Oryctolagus cuniculus: one gene and its partners. The protein of the gene in region 3 binds, or shares a complex with, the protein of the main gene of each other region. Links are inferred from orthologs where the notes say so. Each region holds a gene or a part of one and is shown on either strand. Other genes may lie near its edges.

Region 1 (3,500 bases), on a different chromosome or scaffold from region 3:
ACTCTGTGACTAACTTGAAATCATTTGCTTTGGCTTCTAAGGGATTGTGGGTTGTGGGCAAGTACAGGAAGTAGAATAGGTCAGCATGGAAAGGAGAGCTGCAGGGGATTACGGTCCATAGTAGGGGAAGGCTAAGGTGGAAAAATCTTCAGGTAGTCTTTCTCTCCTCTGCAGACTCATTGAAAGAAGAATCAGGGGCTATTTTTGGAAGCCAGATAAAGGTATTTCAGATTTTTCTTTATTCCTCTTGCCATGTGATAGATTTCCCTATAGCACTCCCTTTTTTAATGAATTTCAGTAAACTCACAGCTTTATTCTCTGAGATGAGACTGGTAAGGAGTTGCATGGGGAAAAGCTGTAGTGGACAGTCAGGCATATGGGAGTACATATAATTACTGCACGTGCTACCCATCTGAACATTACATGGTTATTTTCTTGGCATGAAGTATACAAAGAAGCTCTGATGCACCCCAAGTGATTTGGAGTCAATAGGAATACTAGAGCCAGGAAGAAACTATAGAAAATCAGATTTTTTTAGACTATTCAAAGAGAATCATCTGAAGTTTTTATTTTAGAGTTACTAGAGCAGTAATAAAAAAGATTTGAAGTAATGCGATGTGAGCTTGCTCCATCAAATGAGACACGAAGTAAAAACTATTTTTGATAACTTTGTACCCAGGGTCAGAGTTCCTCTCAAGAGCAAGGGGAAAGAAGGAACGCCTCTTAGCTTAGTCTTAAGTAAGTAGCTTTTTTTTTTTCTTCCTTTTAAAAAGATCCTGGATTTTATTCTTTGTCCAGGTTCTAGATTACTTTATTTAGTCAGTGTCTGCTAAGTAGATGGTAGTATGAGTGATAGAGGGCTCAAAGTGTGAGGCCATTTCTAGAGTTGATCTAACCCAAAAGACAGACCATGTTTAATGATGCTTTGCTGGATAGCTTTACGTGCATTTGTTGACCGGAGCACACTGTGTCTAAGGATGCCCCAGGTGAGGATGAGGAAGAAGATGGGGTCAGTGAAGCAGCCAGCCTAGAGGAGCCTAAGGAAGAAGATCAAGGAGAAGGCTATTTGTCAGAAATGGATAATGAACCCCCTGTGAGCGAGAGTGATGATGGCTTTAGCATACACAATGCTACACTGCAGTCACATACACTGGCCGACTCCATCCCCAGCAGCCCTGCTTCTTCACAGTTGTGAGTATTAGAGATTTCTTTGTTTGAGTCCAAGGCAGTCAAGGTGAGAAGTAGGAGAAAATCTTTCCTTTATTTCTTTTTTAATTTTTATTTTTTAATTTTTTTTTTGACAGGCAGAGTGGACAGTGGGAGAGAGAGACAGAGAGAAAGGTCTTCTTTTTGCCATTGGTTCACCCTCCAATGGCCGCCGCGGCCGGCGTGCTGTGGCCGGCGCACTGCACTGATCCGATGGCAGGAGCCAGGTACCTATCCTGGTCTCCCATGGGGTGCAGGGCCCAAGCACTTGGGCCATCCTCCACTGCACTCCCTGGCCACAGCAGAGAGCTGGCCTGGAAGAGGGGCAACCGGGACAGAATCCGGCGCCTCGACTGGGACTAGAACCTGGTGTGCCGGCGCCGCAAGGCGGAGGATTAGCCTAGTGAGCCGCAGCGCCGGCCACTCCGCCTTTCAAATCAATAAAATAAAATAAAATAAAAAAACAGTAAGACTAAAGAAAAGATTTTTGGCCAGCGCCGCAGCTCACTAGGCTAATCCTCCGCCTTGCGGCGCCAGCACACCAGGTTCTAGTCCCGGTCGGGGTGCTGGATTCTGTCCCGGTTGCCCCTCTTCCAGGCCAGCTCTCTGCTGTGGCCCGGGAGTGCAGTGGAGGATGGCCCAAGTGCTTGGGCCCTGCACCCCATGGGAGACCAGGAGAAGCACGTGGCTCCTGGCTTTGGATCAGTGCGGTGCGCCGGCTGCGGCGGCCATTGGAGGGTGAACCAACGGCAAAGGAAGACCTTTTTCTCCGTCTCTCTCTCTCTCTCACTGTCGAATCTGCCTGTCAAAAAAAAAAAAGAAAAGAAAAGAAAAGAAAAGAAAGGCGGAGTGATAGAGGGAGAGAGATATCTTTGATCCTCTGGTTAACTTCCCAAATGTGGCAACAGGTGGGGCTGAGCCAGGCTGAATCCAGGTGCCAGTAACTTCATCCCAGTCTCCCACATGGGTGCAGGGGCCCAAGTACTTGGGCCATTTGCTGCTTTCCCTCCCTGGAGCATTACCAGGCTCAGCAGTGGAGTAGCCAAGACTCGAACTGGCACCCATATGGTTGCCAGTGTTGCAGGTGGTAGCTTAACCTGCTATGCCACATGCCAGCCCCCTTTTCTTTAATCTTATTTTCTCATCTTCCTATTCTTGGCCTGGAAGAAATAACTGACATGAAATAATTAGGGCTTTTTTTTCTTTCACCTTGCCTACTGATCTGTGTGTCTATTTCAGTTCTGTCTGTAGTGAGGATCAAGAAGCTATTCAGGCACAGAAAATATGGAAGAAAGCCATCATGCTTGTGTGGAGAGCGGCAGCTAATCATAGGTGAGTGGCTTTACCCATCAGTAGGTTCATTCCCTCCTGGTCCTCCTCTTTGTAGATGAAAAGAAAGCAGTCTAAGTAGGCTTCTGTGGGACTGTTGGTGGTGTCTCTACCTACCTTTAGCTACTTGATCTAAGTTCCTTCCCATGTGCATCTGTTTAGTAATTGCATGTTAATTATTTTCGGACAGATATGCGAATGTCTTCTTACAGCCTGTTACAGATGACATAGCACCTGGTTATCACAGCATTGTACAGAGGTAAGCCATGCTCTGCTGACTTGCCTGAATTATAAATTGTCCAGTCTTAGTGAATTTTTACTTTAGATCTAAGTACAAAGGTAGATGTTGTGGCATAGTCTGTTAAACTGCTGCTTGAGACACCCGTATCGCGCATATTGCAGTGCTGGTTTGAGTCCCATTCTTCCGCTTCCAATCCAGCTTACTGCTGATGCACCTGGGAGGCAGTGGATGATGGCCCACGTACTTGGACTCTTGCCATCCATGTGGGAGACCTGGGTGGAGTTCCTGGCTCCTGGCATTGGCCTGGGCTGTCCCCAGCTGTTGTGGGCAATTGTGGAGTGAACCAGTGGATGCAAGATTTCTCTCTCTGTCTTAAGTGCATGTTTTGGAGTGGGGGCTTGGCATTTGTGTCCTAGCAGCTAATAATGAAGGAATAAGGTATATGTAAGAAAGTTTATCATGTATTATCATGTTTATCATTTATTCAGAGATCAGGTGAGTCCTTTTCCCACTTCTGCTGCTCTTTACTCCTCTTCATTTTTTTAGGCCTATGGATTTATCAACTATTAAGAAAAACATTGAAAATGGACTGATTCGCAGCACAGCTGAATTTCAGCGTGACATTATGCTGATGTTTCAGAATGCTGTGATGTACAATAGCTCAGACCACGATGTCTATCACATGGCAGTGGAGATGCAGCGAGATGTATTGGAACAGATCCAG
Region 2 (3,960 bases), on a different chromosome or scaffold from region 3:
ATCTGACAATAAACACTGTTCCACTTGACCAATAACTTGAGTATGTTATGCTTCAGTTACATAAATACATAATGCTCACTTAACTTAATCTTTAAAAGTTACACATTTCCCTACTACTTATTTATGTTGTTTTTTAATTTTTTCCAATAATTAAACTAGGATTAACAAAGTGGATCAGAGCTAAACCACAGTTTTTGAAGAGTACAGCCTCAGGGGGTTGGGACACAGTCAATGGCTAGCGGTATTTAATCAACTGAATGTGCCCAACCACAGTTACTCACAGAGACCACCACTAAAATATCCTCACATGGCTTTTCATAAGAAAATCAGTAAAAAGTTTTTAACAACTGGCTCAATGGCACTAAGCATTCCATCATTTCATATCAAAGCTGAAAGCAGTAAGTACAACCATTTAGCACTTCATACACGATATTATTTATTCTAAGTAAGTTTTTCCTGAAGTATATGCCTAGAATAATGAATAGTTTTTCCCAAAAAGAGGAAAAATAAAAAGATTTCCATTGCTAATTAGGTTGAGGAAAATCTCTGTACTATACTCATCTTTTGGAGATTGCCAGTGCATAATCAGCTTTTTAAAGATTGAGAAGTCCCATGGTTAATTTATAAAAAAGTATTTTCCTTTGGGGTGCTGTGACATAGTAGAGTAAGCCTCTCCCTGCAGCACTGGCATCCCATATGGGCACCGGTTCCTGTTCTGGCTGCTCCTCTTCTGGTCCAGTTCCCTGCTAATGATCTGCGTGGGAGACCTGGAAGAAGTTCCCAGCTCCTGGCTTCAGATCTGCTCAGCTCCGGCCGTTGAGGCCATTTGGCGAGTGAACAAATGGACGGAAGACTTCTTTGTGTTTCTCCCTCTCTGTCTGTAACTCTTTTAAATAAATAAATAAATAAAATTTTTAAAAAAGTATTTTCCTTTAAGCATTCCCTAACTTACGTGACATATGGTCATTTTTGTTAATTCATAATACCTATTAACTTTAAAGAATTCTACTTATTGTTAAAAAAATGCTAGTTTAAAAAAACTTGTAGTTTGTACAAGCTAAGTTCAAATTAAGAGAATTTAAAATGTGTAACTGCAATGAAAATGTTTATAACAGAGCCACCCTTTCTTTAACACCTACTTTGTATCAGATATCATACATTCTAACTTATCTGTATTATTTTTAATTCTCATTGGATTCTCTTATTACAGTCAATGGAAACTTCTCAAAAGTGGTAATGCAGTCGATCGAGGTCAATGAGTCTACTGATAAAGCTATAAAATAAACGCAGATCTGCCCGACATCGAAGTCCACACTCCGTCCTACACAGAACTCTACTCAGCGTGTCACTGGCCTTTCACTACACTGCAGTTCAAACGCATGTTGTCAGCCAGCTGCAGAATCGTGCTTCTCACTTCCTGCCACGCTACAATCTAACCAACAGAAAAAAAGGTGGCTTTTGTGCCACATTCCCACTTGTTACGTGCTACATAAAACTGTGCAGAAGCTGAGAAAAGCAGAATCATGAACCTTTGGGTAGAGAATCCTAGGTGGTCACCAAGTAGACACACGGAGTGGATTGCGAAAGAAAGGTTCTTCAGCCACCTCGGGTAGTCTCTGGGCCACCTACTTAAGAGTCCTTGTCTGAGAAAAAGTCACCAGACTCGCAAGCCGTCACTGGAGGACAGGGAAGCCCGCTGCCAATTATTACCACTGACCAGCCTGGCAGCAACATCTTATCTCCCGCTCATTCTGCCTGGAAAAGAGGATCGAGCCCACAACTCCAAGCTTATCCTATAACGTGTGATGACACTCCAGGTTTGCCGGGATCTCTGAGGATCTACTCCTAAGCCGGGCTCTTGGACGTTTCGGAATGAACTCGAACAGAAGTACAAACAGATGCTGAAATCCAAGTTCGATCCATAAAGGCGCTGGTCAAAATCTCAGCATTTACGGGATCATCGCTAACCCACACCCGGTATTACCCTCATGAGGATATAAAACATTTTTTTTTTTTTGCACAGTCCCATTTCGAGGAAGCAATACATATACTCTAATGCCTTCTTATTTCGTCACAGGAAAAAAAATAATAATAAATGGAGCGTGGGAAGAAAAAAAAAAAAACCAGGCGCGATTTGGCCCTGCCAGCTCTTCTCCACAACTTAGGTGCCCGCGGAGCGCCGCGCAGGAGCGGCGGCAAGCAAGCCCGGCTCGGAACGCGCGCGGCGGACGCGGGCAAACGTGCCGACTTACTCTGCACCTGCAGATCCATCTCGCGCATCTCCGTGAAGCGGTCCCGCAGGTCCATTGGAAGCTGCTCAATCACTGTCAAACAAGAGTCCGTCAGAAGGGCGGGGCCCACAGCGAGCGTACGCGCCTGCGTCACTGCGTGCGTGCGTGCGTGCGTCGGGGGGGGTCGAGGGAGCGGGCAGCCCACAACGAGGCTGCCAGTTACCGTGAGAGAGAAACATCCCCCGCCTCCCCCTCCCTCCCGCCATCCCGCCTGCCCGTCCACTCGCGCTCTCGCCCGACCGCAGGTCCCACGGGCGGCCCCCGCCGGCGCCGCGCACTCACTTTCCAGATAGTCCTCTAGGTACAACATCGCGGCCCTTAGAGCTGGGGGAGCGAAGGGGTCCAGGGGTTTATTTGTGTCACTCGCTGTCGCCGGAGTTTTGTCCCTTCCAATATGGCGCCTCCGCTAGCAGCACCCGCTCGACTCCGGCGAAAAAAAAAAAAAACAAAAAAAAAAAAACCACTTTGGGCGCCTGACGGCGCTTGCCTCATTGCCGCCCGGCGCTGTCATTGGCTGGCTGCCGCAGTGACGTAGGCCGGCCAGGGCCTGCCCGAGCGCCTTTGTGGGAAGTGTAGTTTCTGTTCCTTCTGAGGCAGGGCGGCCGTGCCGCCCGTTCTGTGAGGGAAAACTACGGACACCAGGCGCCATTGCGAGCGGTGCGCGGAGGGCTCCGAAATGCGGTGCCTCTGTTTATTTGTTGATTTTGGCACAGGGGATGACGGGACTTGTATGCGCCGGCATCAGACAACTAGGAACAACTTTTCACCTGTTCTTTGCTGCGGTTCCATGCCCGGCGTTTGTGAGTCATGGGTTTCGCCTGGTGCTGGGCACACAAGCAGAGGTTCTAAACGCTAGCGTGATCAGCGAAGTTCGGGCGATTCCCATTGTTGCAGACAGAATTCGGTGCTTCAGTGTTGACCGCCGAAAATATAAGGGGGGAGGGAGGGACGTCTGCTTGACTCCATGTAGCCTTCAAATAGTTTATCAAACTGTGGCGTGTATGTGCACTCCCCGGATGAAAGGTGCTGGAATAGTCATCAGCGCCAGTTTAGACGAGAGTGGTTTGTTTCTTGTTTTTTTTTTTTTGTTGTTGTTTTTTTTTGTTTTTTCGGTCCAGCTCATCGTCATTGTCATCCTCATGTAATCTGTACATACAACCTATACCTGCAGCAACAACCAAAAAAAAAAAAAAAAAAAAAAAAAAAACCCTGAGCAGTCATAAGTAGCGGGTGGAGCCTTGATGTCTAATGAGCTGAACCAGCAATTTAGATTATGTTGAGTAAGTAGCATGTGTTAGAAGTCCTGGGCGTTGTCTTCCCCTACTTTTGGATTTCTCCCTGCCAATATTGACCGGTGATATATGTTAAGTGTGCATTGCTGAATTTATTTTAAAATGTTTTTCCTCAGGAGACTCTTACTCTAAGTGTTAGGTGGTGGTGTTTCCCATCTTTCTTAACTCTCTCCGTTTTTCAGGGAACAGTGTCGTCAGTGTGAGTGTTCTCCGTAGCCGCTCCTCTGCTCAGGGCTTTTCCACTGGTCTTAAGCAGGATGCTTGACTGTCCTGTTGATACGTCTCAATGGAAACTTACCTGGTCCTATTAAGAATTAACGTAGTTAATTTTACACACTTGAAGCTAAAATCTAGCACCTTCACTCTTCCTCCTTTCC
Region 3 (2,858 bases):
AAGGAAACCCTGACCCCACCAGGCAGGCCCTGCTGCTTGTCCCCTCCCCGGAGCCCCTGGCTGGTGGGTTCTGGTCCTTGCACGTCAGTGGGACCCCAGCGGGGGGCCTTCGGCGTCTCCTTTCGCTCTGTGTGGCGTTTTGGAGGTTCTTCTGTGTGTGTCAGAGCCACTGATAGAATGCGGCTGACCCCCCTCCCCTGACGCCCCTCTTGTTTTTCTGTTTTCTGCTTGTTGTTAGTGCAAATAGATTGAAAAATGGCCTTCTAAATTAGTTCCATCTCTTGGCAACTAAGTTTTGAATTTTAAACATGTGGTAAAATATTTAAATTGGGGGCAAGCTCTTCCCAAGGTACTTATTTAAGTTATATGCTTTGCCACACAGGAAATCCCTGGCTGTGTCCCCCCGGCAGGCCCGGTCAGGATCCGCTACTGGGGATGTAACTGAGAAACGTGAACTGTGCTTGTCTCGCAGGGTGGGGCCTGGAAGTTGTGTCTCCTTGTTTCTGCTTAGCTGGGTTTTCCCAATTTTTTAACATGGGTATAAAAGAGGAACGTTGGAGTGTGACCCTGCTGGCCAGTTTGTGGGACCTTTCAGATTTAATTATTTGAAAGGTAGTGTTAGGGAAAGAGAATCTTTAATCTGCTGGTTCACTCTCCAGATGGCTGCAATGGTTGGGGCTTGGTCAGGCTGAAGCCAGGAGCCAAGAGCTTCATCCAGGTCGCCCACATGAGTACAGGGACCATCTTCCACTGCTTTCCCAGGCCATCAGTGGGGAGCTGGATCAGAAGTGGAGCAGCTGGGACTCAAACCTGTACCAATAAGGGATGCCAGTGTCACAGGCGGAGGCTTAACCCACTATGCCACAGTGCTGGCCCCTCTCTTAACAGGCTCTTTGAGGTGTGAGTGTGAACAGCTCTGTGACGGACAGGTAGAACTCTGCACAGGCTGAGAGTGTGCACCGTGGCCGGCGCTGGCCTGTGCTGTGGCGGGGAACAGACCCCTCACCCCCAGGAACTCCCCGTGTCGCCTGTTCTGAGCTGTGTCAGCAGAGGCCGGCACAGGGCTGCAGGCTCATCGGGGAGCCTTGGGCAGCACCGGGCCCTCTCTGAGCCCCTTCCTGGCTCATCTCCCCTCACAGGGCTCCAAGGTGGGCAAGCTGACCCTCAAGACCACAGAGATGGAGACCATCTACGACCTGGGCACCAAGATGATCGAGTCCTTGACCAAGGACAAGGTCCAGGCCGGGTGAGCAGGCAGGCTGTGCAGGTGGCCTGGGTGGCCCGGGTGGCCTGGGCGGCAGGGACTCAGACCCCCCTCCATTCTTCCTCCGCCCTCCCTCCCCACCCACAGGGACGTGATCACCATCGACAAGGCCACGGGCAAGATCTCCAAGCTGGGCCGCTCCTTCACACGCGCTCGGGACTACGACGCCATGGGCTCCCAGGTGCGCCAGGACGCTGGGGACACCCTCGACCCCGGCCGTTGGATGTTCTGTCGCCTCTGTGACCACAGGGCCTGGGTCCTCCTGTCCCTGTGCTCCTGGGTCTTGTAACCCGGGACGCTGCCCCTCACTCTGAGTGCCCTTGCGTGCCCCTTGGCTTGACCTCCCCTCCTGGGCCTGGGGTTTCTGAACGACCACTCTCTGACCCCCCAGACCAAGTTCGTGCAGTGCCCAGATGGGGAGCTCCAGAAACGCAAGGAGGTCGTGCACACCGTGTCCCTGCACGAGATCGACGTCATCAACTCCCGCACCCAGGGCTTCCTGGCTCTCTTCTCAGGTGAGGGTCCAGGCCGGGCAGCCCCCGACTCCCCCCGGCCTGGGGACATGGCGGAGACCCAGCTCGCCGCCGCTGGGATCTGCTTCCTCTGTGCCCACCCTGCGGTCTCGGCCTCGTCGCCTCCCTGACTCCCCGACGCCGCCCTGGCTCCTGCAGGTGACACCGGGGAGATCAAGTCAGAAGTCCGCGAGCAGATCAACGCCAAGGTGGCCGAGTGGCGGGAGGAGGGCAAGGCGGAGATCATCCCTGGGGTGAGCACCGGGGCGGGAGGGGCGGGGGGCCTGGCCGGGAGGGCGTGCCCTTGAACTCGAGCCCCCGCGCCCCAGGTGCTGTTCATCGATGAGGTCCACATGCTGGACATCGAGAGCTTCTCCTTCCTCAACCGCGCCCTGGAGAGCGACATGGCGCCTGTGCTCATCATGGCCACCAACCGTGGGATCACCCGGTGAGCTGGCACGGGGTCACGTGGGGCCCCGTGGGCTGCGGGCTCCCAGCACTGCTGGCTCCGACAGGAAGCCGTGCCTTTCCCTGGAGCAAGGCAGGTGGGTGACTGGGTGTAGGCAGCTCGCCCCGGCCCCAGGAAGCTCTCGGGGGTGCTGTGGACGTCTTAATCCTGAGGGAAGCACAGTGACCTCTGTCCGACCCCGCACAAACCACTGAGCCCCGGCTGCCTGGGCAGCGCGTCCTCTGTGTGATCGTGGCCTCAAGCTGCCCTGGCAAAATCCCTGGCATCTGACCGGCACCGTGCCCTGATGAGTCCCGGGAACCTGTGCCCTGGGTGTGGCCTCCGTGCCCCACCCCTGCACACGCGTCAGCCATCAGCCTGTGAGGAGGGGGAGGGCCAGGAGCCCGCATTGCCTGGGATGTGGAGCCTGCACCAGCGCTCCCACCGGGCCCCGCCCTGCTGGGACGCTGAGCCGTCACTGTGCAGCAGGGGGCCATCAGTGAGCCGGGAACTGGGCCCGGCCAGGCGGGGCGCTGGGCAGTTTTGCCTGGCTTTTGTCTGACACTGTTCCTGGAAGACCTTCCTGGACCCTCAAAAGAAGCCCCGCAGGGCGCGGTCGTCTCCGCCAGCTTCA
Region 4 (2,782 bases), on a different chromosome or scaffold from region 3:
CTGGAGGGGAAGATCAAGAGCTCAATCTGAGGCCTGTTAAGTATGAAGTGCTTAGTGAACACTGAAGTCGATTTTTGAAAAGGTTTTATTTGAGAGGTAGAGTTACAGAGAGGGAGAGACAGAGAGAGAGGCCTTCCATCCGTTGGTTCACTCCCCAGATGGACGTAACGTCTGGAGCTGCACCTTTCTGAAGCCAGGAGCCAGGAGTTTCCTCTAGATCTCTCTCATGGGTGCAGCAGCCCAAGCACTTGGGCCATCTTCCACTGCTTTCCCAGGCCATAGCAGAGAGCTGGATCAGAAGAGGAGCAGCCGGCACATGAACTGGCGCCCATATGGGATGCTGGTGCCACATGCAGAGGCTTAGCCTACTACACCACAGGGTGGGCCCCAGAAGTCGATTTTTTGAAGATAGAGTTAAAACTCCCAAGTCCGGTTCAGGAAAGGTCTGGGCTGGAAATACAAAGTGTGCGAAGTATTGGCATATAGATGAGTTCATCCTATTTTTTCCAGTGTAACAGCCTATCTTGTTACTATGTACTTTAATTCAGTACTTAGATTCATTTTCCCCTCAAACTGACTGCACCATTGACAGCATAATAAAATCCACATTTCTCATAATAAGAAGACCCTGCATGATCTAGCCCTTCCTACCTTTTTGGACTTTATCTTATACCACTTTCTTTCACTGTTCACTTAATTTCTAAGTTTCTGATCTCCTGGCTGTTCCTTAAAAAACTCTTTCCTGCCTCTGGGCCCTTTTGCTGCTTAACTCTTTCTCAGTCAGTTCCTTCTCATTCTTTGTATCAGTGAGGATTATTTCAGGAGGGACTTGATCCAAATTGGCTCACACAAAAGGAATTTACTATTTTATGTATCCCAGCAGTCCGGAGCCAGGGTGGTTTAGGCACTTCTAGATTCAGGGTGCCTAGGCCTTAGCATCTTCCTAGCGTCCTATCTCACACCCAACAGCTGACCCTTTGGTAAATCCTGTAGGCTCTACTTCCAAAATGCACCCTAAATCCAGTCATTTCTCAGCCACTGTGGTCTGATCCTCCATGGCTCACCTGGACTATTGCCATAGCCACCTCACTGGACTTCCAGCTTCCACACTACTCTCCTTATCCCTAGTCACTCTACACAGCATCCAAATGGATCCTCTGTGACCCAACTCAGTTCACCTCCCTCCTCTGCTCACAGCCCTCCCCTGGCATCCAGCTCACTTAGCAGAAAAGCCAGGCTCTTTAACATGGCCTTGTAGGTTTACACAGCCTGCCTCCCACTCCCTGCACCCACCCCCTTACCTCCCTGACCTCAGCTCTTCTAGTACCTCTCACTTACTCTTCTCCAGCCACAATGCCCTATTAGCTGTGACTCAAACATGCCAGGCACACTCCCACCTCAACACCTTTGTATTTGCTGCTACTTGTGTGTGGAACACCGTGCAGCCTTCATATAGCACTATTTGCTTCTTTACAGCTTCACTCAAATGCTTCTCAATGGAGCTGTCCCTAGGCACTGTATTAAAAATGGCAGCTCCCACTCCCATACTACTTTCCCTCCATCACTGCTTCCTTTTTTCATTATACTTAGAACCATCTGACATACCATATATTTTAGTCCATCATTTATTTGTCTCTAAGAATTTGAGCCCCGTGTAGGCAGGATTTTTGTATGTTGTGTTTGCTGCTATCTCCCCAGTGCCTAAAACTGGCATACATTAGACATTTGGTAATCCTTGGATCAGGTCCAGACTGTGGTCAGGCATCTCTGCACAGCAGATGGGTGGAAGTCATCCCAGATGTAGGTAGTTCTTGAAGTGATGAGGAAGGGTCATCTTCATAAGTGGGGCCCACTTTGCACATTCTCGTTTCTTTTCTCCAGGCTCAGCAACAGCCTCACCAAGGACTCCATGACTATCAAGGCCCATATCCACATGTTGCTAGAGGTGAGAGCAGCTCACTCCACTCCCAGCCTCTATGTCCAGATGTGGTTAGGGTGATGACCTAAAGAAGGGAGAGAGCCGACGAAGGAAAGGACCATCTTTCCTTCTAAACTGGATCCAAGGGCGGGGAGGTCAGAGCAAGCCTGAGGTGGGGCCTGGACCCGTCCCTTGTTAAATCCTTTCTGTCCTTTTTTTCAGGGGCTTAGAGAACTACAAGGCCTGCAGAATTTCCCAGAGAAGCCTCACCATTGACTACTTACCGCATCCTCCGACATTAAAGATCCTGAATGCCTTTGAGTCACATGGCCCTTCTTTTTCCCCCTAACTCCTGCGGGTTGCCAAGGCACCCTGTTTCCAGAGTCCAGCATTAATTGGAAGATCTAGTTTCTCTATGGATCCTTTAAAGCACCCTGGAAGTCCTGCCTCCGGCCTATTGCCTGGCAGCATTTGCTACTTGACTTTAGGCTCTGCCCTCTGTCACCATGGCAACCTCACACACACACACCCTTCCTTGCATTCCTTTTACTGGCTATCGCCCTTTGAATTGCCATGGAGAATGGACAGGTTCAGGGTGGAGGTTTGTTCCCATGGCAATCAGCCTTTCACTCCTAGCCCTAAGGTTTAACCCTTCTCCCAAATCCCAATCGTTCCTCAGGTACCATCAATTACACCCACGCCAGGCTCAGCCCAACCTTGGCCTCTGCTTCCAGTTTCCACCAATAGGCGCAGAGCCAAATTCTGCCCTCCCTGGTCCAGCCCCCCAGTCAGCACAGAGCCAGGTTCCGCCCCCTTAATAACTCTAGCCACAGCTTGACCCTGTCTTTTCTGTGAGCACTTAGT
Region 5 (3,500 bases), on a different chromosome or scaffold from region 3:
GAAGTGCCAGGGCCCTAAGCCAAAGCCTGGAACTGGGACCTCGACCCAGGTCTCACATGGGTAGGAGAAACCCAATTATTTGAGCCATTGCCACTTTCTCCCAGGGTCTACTTTGGTGAGAACTGGAGTCAGGAGCTGAAATTGAATTCTGGCACCCACAACCCAGTACTAGACTTAAAGAGAAGGAAAAGAACCCATAAATGTTATTCAAATAACCATGCTGCACGATAGATGGTGGAAACGTCAAGCCTCACTGCTTTATTTTCAGTGCCTCTCTTCAAAGAAAGTAACTTTTTGTGCTTCCTTTCTGAAAAATGAGTTTCATTGTAGAGGCAATTCTAATAAGCAGAAAGTTCCTCAGCACCATTAGGCAATAATTTCAGCTTTTCCACCAAATCTGTCACCAGAATTGCTGTTAACATTCCAACCTTTGTTTTTTTCCCATAGTCATCTATTACTTGCAGAGGTCAAGCTAGCAAGCCAAAAATATAGAAAGAAGAAACAAAAGGAATTAGCAATCTTTCATTTTAAGAGATATCCAGCAAATAGTTTAACTATAATGCTACTTTAAGTCTAATTGATGTTTATAAGTATATCCCAGTCAGGTATGGGATAAGAACTTACAGAAGTCAGTTTTTAGCCTTTTCCCTAACTTTATTTAGGTATAATTGACAACAGTTATGCATCGTTCATTAATTGGAGTATACAGATTTGAAGTTATAAACTGAACAAGGTCTGGAGACCAGATGTGCAGTATGGTTAATTATAATATCCTACATACTTGAAATTTGCTAAGAGTAGATTTTATGTAATACCCCCTCAAGTAACTGAGGTGATGAATATGTTAATTAGCTTGATTGCAGTAATCATTTTATAATCCATGTTTTATCAAACCATCACTTTGTGCCCCTTGAATGTATTATACAGTTTTGAGTTTTCTTTTTTATAATTTCAGGTATAATTTGGGTGACTACAACGGTGAGATCATGTCTGAGGTTATGGCACAGAGACAGCCACTGAAACCCACTTATGCCATCCCTATCATCCCTATTACCAACAGCAGTCAGTTTAAACACCAGGAAGTAATGGATGTGAAAGAGTTTAAAGTTAATAAGGTGAATAATGTTTTTGTGATGATAGTATCTGACAGTGGGATGGGATTTTATTAGTAGTAGGAAAATAAAGGAGAAAAATACATAAGCCATACCATGAAGTAGAACCTTAATGATTATGGCATATTATGAAAAGAAACTGAAAGTTTAAAATAAATTTTTGTTTTTGTTATTTCCTTATCTTATATAAAAGGATGACTTTGTTACTATAGTTGATAAGAGAAGTATTTTACTAACTATAGGATTATGAAATATTAAAATAATTCAAACAAAATATAGAAGTTTAGAGAGAAGGACAGGAAATCCTTGCTGATAGGATGAGTTTGTGATGTTCTTTTGTGTGTGAGATACATCAGTGTGTAAGTGGAAGGCAAGATAGAAGAAGGAATTCAGGTATCTCTTTAAATGTGTAACAGAGATAATGGATTAGAAATGGAAATATGTGACACATTAATACTTAACCAAATACTTGGCAGTATGTAAAGAATAAAATTGATGAGGAGAAATAAAATTAGTGGAGGGAAATTAAGAAAGGCAATTAAGTGGTACCTTCTTGGGAAAATGTGGGTCTGAGGGAGAAAAATCTGTTTTTTCATGCGCATTTAAATTTATCCCCCATGGACACACTGAAATGCTGTATTGATCAGATTTTTTTCTGCCTGCCTTTTCAATTTACTACTCCTAAATACACTTTTTAAACACTAGTGTAGTATTTTAAGTCTGGTCCCCCAGTCTGAATCTTGTGTAACTTTGCACGCTATTTCTGTGTTGTCCTTCAGGGTTTAGATTTCATGACTGCACTCCTAACTATGCGATTCTATCCTTTCTGAATATGTGAGAAAGCTGGGCCCGAGCCCTTGAACATGTATTAGTTTAAATTCTTCCAGATTAAGATAGAATCATTAATTGAAGCTGTTTTGGTTTTCTTGGTAGTTTTTATAGTAGTTTAAGTAATTGCATCCCAGATTAAGTAAGATCAAACTTTTAAATTCCATAAAACTTAACACAAATATTTTGCACAGTTTCTTACCTGTGCTATTTGCCATTATCTTTTTCTCCCCAGTAAATACCATTTTGCATCTACACTCACTACCTGTTGTCCACACATGAGATCCATACTTCTAACTTAGCATTGTCTGCCACATGCATTTCTCCTGTGAGCTGACTTCATAACTCACCTATTCTTTGTCCTGCTTTTCTCCCAGTATAATAATTTTATATCTTTATCCTCAAAAATTGCTCAAAATTCACCACTCCACAAAGCCTTCTTTGTTCGGTTAGCAAATCCTTCCTTTTTGTTTTTATGGCCCCTCGGTGTTCAACGGCTTTACTCTGCACACCGTATTAACAGTCATGTACAGTTCACCACTTTGTGTGTCACATTGTTTTCATTATGATTTTCCCTGCACTAATTTGTTGTTTCTTGAGATTAAGTGTTGAGAAGTAAGGACTAGATGTTTTATTACTATTTTCTCCTATAATTTTCACAGTATAAATGTTATAAATGTTAATTGTAGGAGCTGGAGAACTTCTGTTCTCATCTTACTTTAATGGAATCAAAATAATTTATAGGACTATGTTTAGATGGCCAGAAGTAAAAGTCTGTGTCTCCTTTGAATAGAACTGTCTTCATTATACAAATAAGCTGCTTTTTAAAATTTCCCAAAGAGCAGCAGGTTTGTTGAACATGGTTTCTAGTGTCTTTAATCACTTTCGTGTCCTTGTTGTAGCAAGATAAAGCCGATCTTATCCGACCGAAACGGAAATACGAAAAGAAGCCCAAAGTCTTACCGTCGTCTGCTGCTGCTACTCCTCAACAGACGAGTCCTGCTGCACTGCCAGTCTTTAATGCTAAAGATTTAAATCAGTATGACTTTCCCAGCTCAGATGAAGAACCTCTCTCCCAGGTAAATACAAGACCTTCTCAGGGTGGGCATTGTGTAGTGGGTTAGGGGGTGCCCACATCCCCCATCCATGTACCTGCTCTGCTGTGATCCAGTTTCCCGCTAATGCGGACCTTAAGAGGCAGCAGGTAATAGCTCAAGTAGTTGTGTCCCTGCAATCCACATGGAAGACCTAGGTTAAGATCCAGGCTCCTGGCTGCAGCCTGGTCCAGCACTGCTGTTGCTGGCATTTGGACAGTAACTGGGGTGGAAGATACTCTGTGTGTGTGCCTTTCAAATCAACAAATAAGTAAAAATTTTTGAGAAAAGAGTGTCTCTCTATAAAAATAGAGGAAGAATGTAGGAAGTCACACGTTTGACCTACTTCTTTTGTTGTACTCAAAGGTTTTGTCCGGCTCTTCGGAAGCTGAGGAAGAGAATGATCCCGATGGTCCCTTTGCTTTCCGTAGGAAAGCAGGCTGTCAGTACTATGCTGTAAGTGTTG
Region 6 (3,109 bases), on a different chromosome or scaffold from region 3:
GCCTCACCTTGGCTGCACTTGCGATGTCCACGGCCTCCACAATGTCAGCCTGGCGGATCTTTGCTGTGTCTTCCCCATCCTCCCCTTCCAGGAACCTGGAAGAGCGTCCATACTGCAGTAAAGCTCCCTCTATGAAGTGGGCACACCAACATAAAACGAGGCAGGGAAATCCCGCGAGACGAGGGCCGGCAGGGCCAGGTCGGGGTCCACTCACCCAGGCTCCTCAGCAAGCAGCAACTCTGAGCGGGCAGCTTGGACGCTGGTTTCCTCTTCCTCAGCTTCAGCTGCCTCAAGTCTGCTGCGCGTCTTGGACTTGGAAGGCGGCAGCTACAACAGCGTTGGGAGTGGAGGAGGAGGAGGAGGAGGAGCGGAGGGAGAACACGGAGAATCACAGCAGAGCCACCGGGCCCCACCTCCATCCTTCTCACCCAGGCGCTCCCAGCCTCCAGTCCTTCCCCACCGTCCAGCGATTCTCACCTTTTTAGATTTGTCAATGCGACGGAACTTCCGGGCTGCCTCCACCGGGACGGGGGCGGGGCCCGGGAAGGGGTCCTGGGCCTGGGGCAGAGAGGAGGCAGTCAGCTCACAGCTTCGGGCTGACCCCCCAACCCTTTCACTCGCAAAGCACAGAGAAACCTGCCCCCGCCACCCTGCCGCGGTGCAGGCTCACCCCAGACAAGCTCCGCTGGGGCTCCGGCTTCTTCGGCCCTCGAGACTTCCTCGCGACCAGGGTCTTCTTGGAGATGCGCGACTTCTTTGTGACCTGAGTGTTCTTTGGTCTCTGGGGCCGGAGCTCCCGGTTCCGCTTCTTCTTAGGAGGCGGGCCTGGAGAGGCGCCGGTGGCGCTCGGAGTGGTGTCCACTTCCCAGTATCGCCGCGGTTTCTACGGGCAGATCAGGAGCCCTGGAACTCCGCGGCCCACGTCCCGCCCCCGAACCCCACAGCTAAAACCTCCCTGCCCGTCCAGAGAAGCCTGTACCTTCCTCTTGGCCTGAGGTTTGTCCTTCTTGGGTGGGGCATCCTGACTGGCCTTTGGGACTGTCTCCATCTCGCCCACTGGAACAACGATCCACGTGCAAATCTCTCAGCTGTCCCACAGTCGGCTTAGACTCTCCCGGAAGTCCTCTGTTCCGCCTCAGCCAATCAGCATCGTTCCAGGGCTGAAGTCTTGAGCACGCCATCTTGAGTGAGGGCACACTCTCCTTTAAGGGGCGGGGCGTGCTGTGGCATCTCCCTCGGGCGCCGCAGCTTATACCCGAGGAATGGGGAAAAAAAGTCAAGTCCGGGCCAGAAACCAGTAACAGAATAGTCTTTTTCCGGATTAACTTCTCTGTCTTGCCTAAAACCTTCTGAGTCCAGTCATTTCAGCCGAATGCCGCTTATTAAAAATGTTAGAACTACATTTCCCGACATGCAACCTGGAGGCAACTTCCGGATTGATTTTCCCAGCATTCCATGTTTACTTCCGGGTTGATTAATACAGAAGGGAGAACGTGAGTAGGTTAGGGTACCGTTTCAGGGGTTTTGCGTTTCTTTTCGTCCTGCACCCACTGGGGTCGGGTCGATTCGACTTCCCGGACAGGGAGAGGCCGCGGTGCCCCGAAGGACTGCCTCTCAAGAGGACTGTCATTTCCGTCGGCCCGACCAGAAAGGGGAGCTCGACCCCAGCGCCCCTCTCCCGTTCCCGCAGGCTTTCATCCCCGCCATGGCCGAGCTGATCCAGAAGAAGCTGCAGGGAGAAGTGGAGAAGTATCAACAGCTACAGAAGGGTAAGGGACCGGGTGGGCGTAGTCTCGCCGCAGCCCGCAGACTAGCCGAAACGAGCTCTCCGCCCCAGCCGGCCCGCTCCTTCCCCGCCTGTATACTCGCCCCTTCTTCCCGGTCTGCTTCCTCACATCCGCCTTCTGGGCCAGGACTGTGGGAGCCCGTGGCACTCTTGGTGTCCCACTCACGTCTCCCTTCCTCCCTAGACTTGAGTAAATCCATGTCAGGGAGGCAGAAGCTTGAAGCCCAACTAACGGAAAACAACATCGTGAAGGAGGTGAGGGGCCGGGAGTTGTGGGGGCGGAGCAGCCTGGACCGGCTGCGGTTCTGATCAGACCCGTCCCGCTCGCCCACCAGGAACTGGCTCTGCTGGACGGGTCCAACGTGGTCTTTAAACTGCTGGGGCCGGTGCTGGTTAAGCAGGAGCTGGGGGAGGCGCGGGCCACGGTGGGGAAGAGGCTGGACTACATCACAGCTGAAATGTGAGTTTTTGTCCCACTGCCCTGGCTGTCGGCCGGCGGGTGCTGGGGACCTGAGTGGATTGCCCTTCGGAGCAGCCCACGGAAGCCTCCCCTTTTAACGCGGCCTGCCCCTCCCCCTAGCAAGTCCCTCTAACTTCTCCCTGTCTTCTCTGGCCCCTGGCCTCTCCTCAGTAAGCGATACGAATCCCAGCTCCGGGACCTGGAACGGCAGTCAGAGCAGCAGAGGGAGACCCTGGCCCAGCTGCAGCAGGAGTTCCAGCGGGCCCAGGCGGCCAAGGCAGGGGCTCCCGGGAAGGCCTGACCTCGGGGCGGGGCGGGGTGGGATGGGCCACTCTAAGTACCTAATAAAATGTAAACACCTGGCTCTGTTGTCCTGCTTGTCTGTTCCCCCGGCCTCCATCACCTGACCCACACACCACACACCACTGTTACTCCCTCAAGCCCACATTCCAGCACCTGCAGTCTCTGGAACTAAACTCTAAAATGTCTCAAAGCTGCTCCTCACCTGTACTCGTATGTACAGCCCTTAATTCTCCGTTATTTTCCTAAGACACGGCCTTTTAGGAAACACAAGGACATTTACAACCTAAGCATATTGTTGGGAGTGTCGTTTAAATTGAAGAACTCAGAATTCTCTGAGAACCCAGGATGAAATGTGACTCCTCCCCTTGCTGTGAATACAAGTGCTCCGTAGGGCTCATGGGAAAATGGAAATAAAAGGTTGGGTTACAGCAGGTGGGGGCTTTTGACTCTGCTTCTCAATAAAAATATTTCCATGCAAGACATTTTGAATCATGCATTTTCCATGTACTCTTTGAAGACCCATCACATGCATGACTCCAAAGCTTCTGTACCAAAATAAC
Region 7 (4,200 bases), on a different chromosome or scaffold from region 3:
CAAGATATGATCTAAAAAGATGTCAAATCTTTGAATCCTACTACTACATACTTGTAAACTTTGGGAATTTACTTTAGTAAATACAGATAACAAAGAGACAAATAAAAGTTACCAACCATCCTGCCACCCAGACACTATTATCATTACCAGTGAGGTGAAACTTGTTTTTTTCCCTTGTAAACCATAATACCACTGTTATTTTAATAAAAAAGGCTTCTACTATCATCTATAGTTTTACAATGACTATATCAAGAACACTTTTTCTTATCAATATGTATTCCTTTATAATATCATCGTATGACATACTACATTTATTTGCTCAATCCTCAAATGTTAGACATTTAAGGTATTACTGTCCCTCAAGTATTATAGATCAGTGTTGTGATGGACATCTTTGTAGCTGGCAACAATATCAGAAATGTCTAATCTGTCAGTTATAATCTTTAGGCGCTTGAAAGAGCTCAAAGTCATTTACTCCTGAACATTAAAATGTAATTTTAATGTAGTTTAATGTATAACTACACATGAAGCAACAAAGATGGCTTGCTTATGAATATATACACAGAAATTGCATTTAAAAATAATGCTAAGCACTGAGAAGATTTTGGGGGGGCGGTGAGAGAAGTAATTTTTTGTTCAACATTTACTTTAAGGGATAGTTTCTTCTCAATAAACTTTAAGTTCATTTATTTCAAAAATACACACCAAATTCAAGCATAAAATAGTTACATTAGTGGTACAGCTTGAAGATACCAAAATCCAATCTGCGTCATTAGCTTTAAAGGTCGTGTAAATGGCATATGAAAAGGAAGAGACATCTTCAGCTTTATGAGATCTATGTACGTACAGTTTAAAATAAACGTAGGCACTGGGCTTTTGCAATTTAAAGAGATGCCGAAAACTTGTCAACCTTTATATAAACCTTCCATACAACTTTTATGATTTTATATAATATAAATATAACCAAGCTTCCCACATACTATTCAGAATTTCTATAACTCACCCTGTTCTTCTTCAGGTTAGAAAGTTCATCCACAACGACTTTTTGTTCTTTAATCTACTGAAATAAAGAGAAACGCTTAAAACAGAATTTTAACTCTTAAAAACATGTTCAATTAGATGACGGCTTTAAAATTAGGCAGATGGCGTAAGAAGGTATCATGCGCTGATTGTCCAAATGGGCAGTCTGAGAAGATTCTTTCCAGTCTATGTGTGCACAGGTGGAGGGGGAAATGGGCATTAGACATCTAAATGTCACACAACCCACGGAGCCCAGCCAGTGGGTTTGATGTTGGCAACCGGCCTTCATGCCTGTGGCCACAGTTACTGAACAAGGCCTATACAAACAGACGATATGCACCAGAAGTAATACCAGTCTCTGACGATTTGTGTACTAAATGGTGCGGCTAGACAGTCCTTTTAACCAAGTAGTTCTAAATCCCCCTGTCTTGGCATCAATCTTCTTTGCACAGTGCTGGCTTCACTTTTCAATTTCAGGAGAGAACTCAAGTAAGTGCAAACTTTCTGATACTTTCTAGTAACTGGCTATTTTATGAACACGATCTATTACCTAACATCACCAGCGCCTCTAAAACCAGATGTAAGATTTTTACACTGCACCACACACTTGAGGGATCTGCCATAGGTCGGCAGCAGAGTGGGCTGTATTTTGCAAATTCACTCCCTGCCCCATGAGTCTCCCCCTTGTTGTCTCCAGAGCTGACACAGCTGCAGAAGGGACAGGATAAGGCTGACTTCCAAGGTTGAAACTATACCCTCCCCCTCTTTGAGACTTAACGCTTGTACCACAGTGCTTTCTTGTGCAGTTTAGGGATGTCAGGTCTGTATTTCACTTCCCACCAAAGAAGGAAGCTGTGATGCAGAGAGAACAGAGAGGTCTGTCCAAGACACCACTACTAGCTTGGAGCAGAACCAGTGAAGAATGCAGGACATTGAACTCCCTCCTCCACACGTTTAAAGGTTGCACCTGTTTCCGGCAGTTCAGGTCAGTATCAGAGTGGCTCCCCTCCCCCTCTTTCTCCGCAGATGAGTGACAATCAGATGTGCGAGGTTTAGGGCGGCCACTGCGGCTACAGCGGGGAACAGAGAAGGCAGCAGGTGGGCTAGGGAGCCCTTTGCGGGGGTCCGGGGCAGCCGATGAGGGCGGCTCGTTCAGGGACGCAGGAGCGTGCGTCCTCGGGACTAAAGTCACACTCGTACCGGAAGTGGGTTTCAGGTGTAGACCGACGTCAAGGATGAGCCCATGCCGCTGGCAGGGGTAACGGAAGGGGTGAGCTACAGATCTGGAAGGGCCGCGGAAACTCAGCCCACAAGACGCTTAGCGCGACTACTTCCAGGGAAGGGGAAGTGCCGACTGCTACCAACAGCAGAGCAGCGCAAGCCGAGGCCGTCTCCAGCGAAGCCCCGCGCTGCTCGCGGCCGGCCCTCTCTGGGTTGCCCCAGGCGCCGGGTCCTAAGCCCGGGAGGCCTGCTCGCTGCGTCCCACGCCCACCTTGTTGCAAAGATCCTCCTTGTGTAAGGTCCGGCCGCCGGCGGGGACCGGCACAGCGCTGTCCTCCGGGTGCACGCCCCGGCCGGGCATCTCCAACCAGCCGCAGACACGCAGGATTCACCAGAGCTCCCGAGAGTCCCACCACCGACCGCCCCAGCCACAGCGCCGGCAGCGTCACCTGCCTTGCAGAGGTCTCACCAACCTCCTCCGCGCGCTCACTCCAACGCCTGCGCAGTCCGGGCCTGACGCCCCCGCCCCCTCGCCAAGAGCGGTTCTACGCATGCGCACAAATGCCTAGAGCGCCAGTGTTTCGAGCCCGGTTGCGAAATCTAAGCAATTCATACGCCGACCCCCAGCGGATCGGAGGTAGAAACACTTTTGTGGGCTCTTGGACTACAAGTTACACGCGCCCCCTATTGGTGCAAATAAAGAACAGACGCGCAGTAGAAACACCAATTAGTTATTAACCAGTCAGATCCTGAACTAAAGCACAGATTTCATAGACACAATGTTGGCAACCGAACCCTACAGAATTGGAAAAGTTTTTGTTAATTTGTAACTAGGGTTTTCAGCTAAATACAATTTTATACGAATTTCAGGTGAATGAATACTTTTATTAGTGTACATCCTATGCAATATTTGTAATGTCTCATTCTTGCAAAAAAAAAAATGACCAAAAGTTGGAAATAGGCAAGAGATTACCTGATGTTCTTTCAGTGCTGTTCTAGGATTGACTTTCAATGAACTGAACTGTTTTACAACCTGGTGCAGGCAGGGGACAAAAGCAGAGGCAAACGTGTGGATTTTTGACTGGTAAAAATGCTAATAATTTCTACTAGGTCAATAAGATACTTCCAAGGTTATGATTTATTATCTGGAAGACATTAATCAGTTATGTATGTAACACTGAGGTCCTGTCTGACATTTCTTGACTGATAAATTCCTTGCTTTTCAAATGCTCTTTGAATTGATTTTCATATCTGACTGGTTTCCTCATTTACTAATGAGTTAAATAAAACCATGATATGTGTTTATTTTATATTTGCATATGAGACCACATATTTGAAAATTATATTCCAGTGTTGGGAATCACGATGTTCTATGGAGATGCTTAAGTGCACTTATGAGATGTAGACAAATTGTGTGACTTAATAGATGTACTTGGTGGCTTTTTTTAAGCCCTAGCATATCTTTCATCGGGTCTTCTAGTAAGAAAAGTTATATGAGGTCTGGACTGGTAAATTTTTATGTTTCTCCATGTATCTGTCTATCTGAAATTTAGAACAGGCTTCTTTATTTTTTTTTAATTTCTTTGACAGGTAGAATTATAGACAGTGAGAGAGACAGAGAAAAGGTCCTTCTTCTGTTGGTTAACTCCCCAAATGGCCACCATGGCCGGTGGTGTGCCAATCCGAAGCCAGGAGCCTTCTTCCTGGTCTCCCATGAGGGTGCAGGAGCCCAAGCACTTGGGCCATCCTCCACTGCCCTCCCAGGCCACAGCAGAGAGCTGGACTGGAAGAGGAGCAACTGGGACAGAATCTGGTGTCCATATGGGATGCCGGCGCTGCGAGGCAGAGGATTAACCAAGTGAGCCACGGCGCAGGCCCCTGTTTTTATTTGCCATAGAATGGGTATTTTTTATAAAGATTTATTTATTTATTTGAAAGGCAGAATTACAGAGAGGCAGG

The links.
Region 1: RUVBL2 (region 3) and BRD8 share a complex: the UniProt entries of both Homo sapiens proteins name them as parts of the nuA4-related complex. The link is inferred for Oryctolagus cuniculus from reciprocal best matches to the Homo sapiens genes RUVBL2 and BRD8.
Region 2: RUVBL2 (region 3) and ING3 share a complex: the UniProt entries of both Homo sapiens proteins name them as parts of the SWR1-like complex. The link is inferred for Oryctolagus cuniculus from reciprocal best matches to the Homo sapiens genes RUVBL2 and ING3.
Region 4: RUVBL2 (region 3) and UXT share a complex: the UniProt entries of both Homo sapiens proteins name them as parts of the PAQosome complex. The link is inferred for Oryctolagus cuniculus from reciprocal best matches to the Homo sapiens genes RUVBL2 and UXT.
Region 5: RUVBL2 (region 3) and EPC1 share a complex: the UniProt entries of both Homo sapiens proteins name them as parts of the nuA4-related complex. The link is inferred for Oryctolagus cuniculus from reciprocal best matches to the Homo sapiens genes RUVBL2 and EPC1.
Region 6: RUVBL2 (region 3) and PFDN6 share a complex: the UniProt entries of both Homo sapiens proteins name them as parts of the PAQosome complex. The link is inferred for Oryctolagus cuniculus from reciprocal best matches to the Homo sapiens genes RUVBL2 and PFDN6.
Region 7: RUVBL2 (region 3) and ASDURF share a complex: the UniProt entries of both Homo sapiens proteins name them as parts of the PAQosome complex. The link is inferred for Oryctolagus cuniculus from reciprocal best matches to the Homo sapiens genes RUVBL2 and ASDURF.

Annotation. Positions count from the first base shown.
Region 1 is NC_091437.1:25,976,058-25,979,557, reverse strand, and holds part of BRD8 (bromodomain-containing protein 8), read left to right. Parts: intron 1-174; coding exon 175-221; intron 222-976; coding exon 977-1,191; intron 1,192-2,445; coding exon 2,446-2,538; intron 2,539-2,725; coding exon 2,726-2,794; intron 2,795-3,322; coding exon 3,323-3,500. UniProt on the Homo sapiens protein: May act as a coactivator during transcriptional activation by hormone-activated nuclear receptors (NR). Isoform 2 stimulates transcriptional activation by AR/DHTR, ESR1/NR3A1, RXRA/NR2B1 and THRB/ERBA2.
Region 2 is NC_091434.1:156,936,687-156,940,646, reverse strand, and holds the start of ING3 (inhibitor of growth protein 3), read right to left. Parts: upstream 2,801-3,960; 5' UTR 2,602-2,800; coding exon 2,574-2,601; intron 2,325-2,573; coding exon 2,253-2,324; exon of another isoform or gene 1,530-2,252; intron 1-1,529. UniProt on the Homo sapiens protein: Component of the NuA4 histone acetyltransferase (HAT) complex which is involved in transcriptional activation of select genes principally by acetylation of nucleosomal histones H4 and H2A.
Region 3 is NC_091449.1:8,259,068-8,261,925, reverse strand, and holds part of RUVBL2 (ruvB-like 2), read left to right. Parts: intron 1-1,139; coding exon 1,140-1,246; intron 1,247-1,351; coding exon 1,352-1,445; intron 1,446-1,655; coding exon 1,656-1,779; intron 1,780-1,935; coding exon 1,936-2,030; intron 2,031-2,105; coding exon 2,106-2,224; intron 2,225-2,858. UniProt on the Homo sapiens protein: Possesses single-stranded DNA-stimulated ATPase and ATP-dependent DNA helicase (5' to 3') activity; hexamerization is thought to be critical for ATP hydrolysis and adjacent subunits in the ring-like structure contribute to the ATPase activity.
Region 4 is NC_091453.1:33,158,954-33,161,735, reverse strand, and holds the end of UXT (protein UXT), read left to right. Parts: intron 1-1,881; coding exon of another isoform or gene 1,882-1,945; intron 1,946-2,140; coding exon 2,141-2,267; 3' UTR 2,268-2,282; downstream 2,283-2,782. UniProt on the Homo sapiens protein: Involved in gene transcription regulation. Acts in concert with the corepressor URI1 to regulate androgen receptor AR-mediated transcription. Together with URI1, associates with chromatin to the NKX3-1 promoter region.
Region 5 is NC_091444.1:102,680,675-102,684,174, reverse strand, and holds part of EPC1 (enhancer of polycomb homolog 1), read left to right. Parts: intron 1-955; coding exon 956-1,115; intron 1,116-2,842; coding exon 2,843-3,019; intron 3,020-3,400; coding exon 3,401-3,490; intron 3,491-3,500. UniProt on the Homo sapiens protein: Component of the NuA4 histone acetyltransferase (HAT) complex, a multiprotein complex involved in transcriptional activation of select genes principally by acetylation of nucleosomal histones H4 and H2A.
Region 6 is NC_091436.1:135,834,645-135,837,753, reverse strand, and holds PFDN6 (prefoldin subunit 6), read left to right. Parts: upstream 1-1,447; 5' UTR 1,448-1,705; coding exon 1,706-1,769; intron 1,770-1,970; coding exon 1,971-2,041; intron 2,042-2,121; coding exon 2,122-2,246; intron 2,247-2,417; coding exon 2,418-2,547; 3' UTR 2,548-2,609; downstream 2,610-3,109. Other genes in the region: WDR46 (WD repeat-containing protein 46), read right to left, coding at 8-95, 215-327, 478-558, 671-883, 980-1,048. UniProt on the Homo sapiens protein: Binds specifically to cytosolic chaperonin (c-CPN) and transfers target proteins to it. Binds to nascent polypeptide chain and promotes folding in an environment in which there are many competing pathways for nonnative proteins.
Region 7 is NC_091434.1:50,691,753-50,695,952, forward strand, and holds the start of ASDURF (ASNSD1 upstream open reading frame protein), read right to left. Parts: upstream 2,801-4,200; 5' UTR 2,603-2,800; coding exon 2,513-2,602; intron 1,058-2,512; coding exon 1,004-1,057; intron 1-1,003.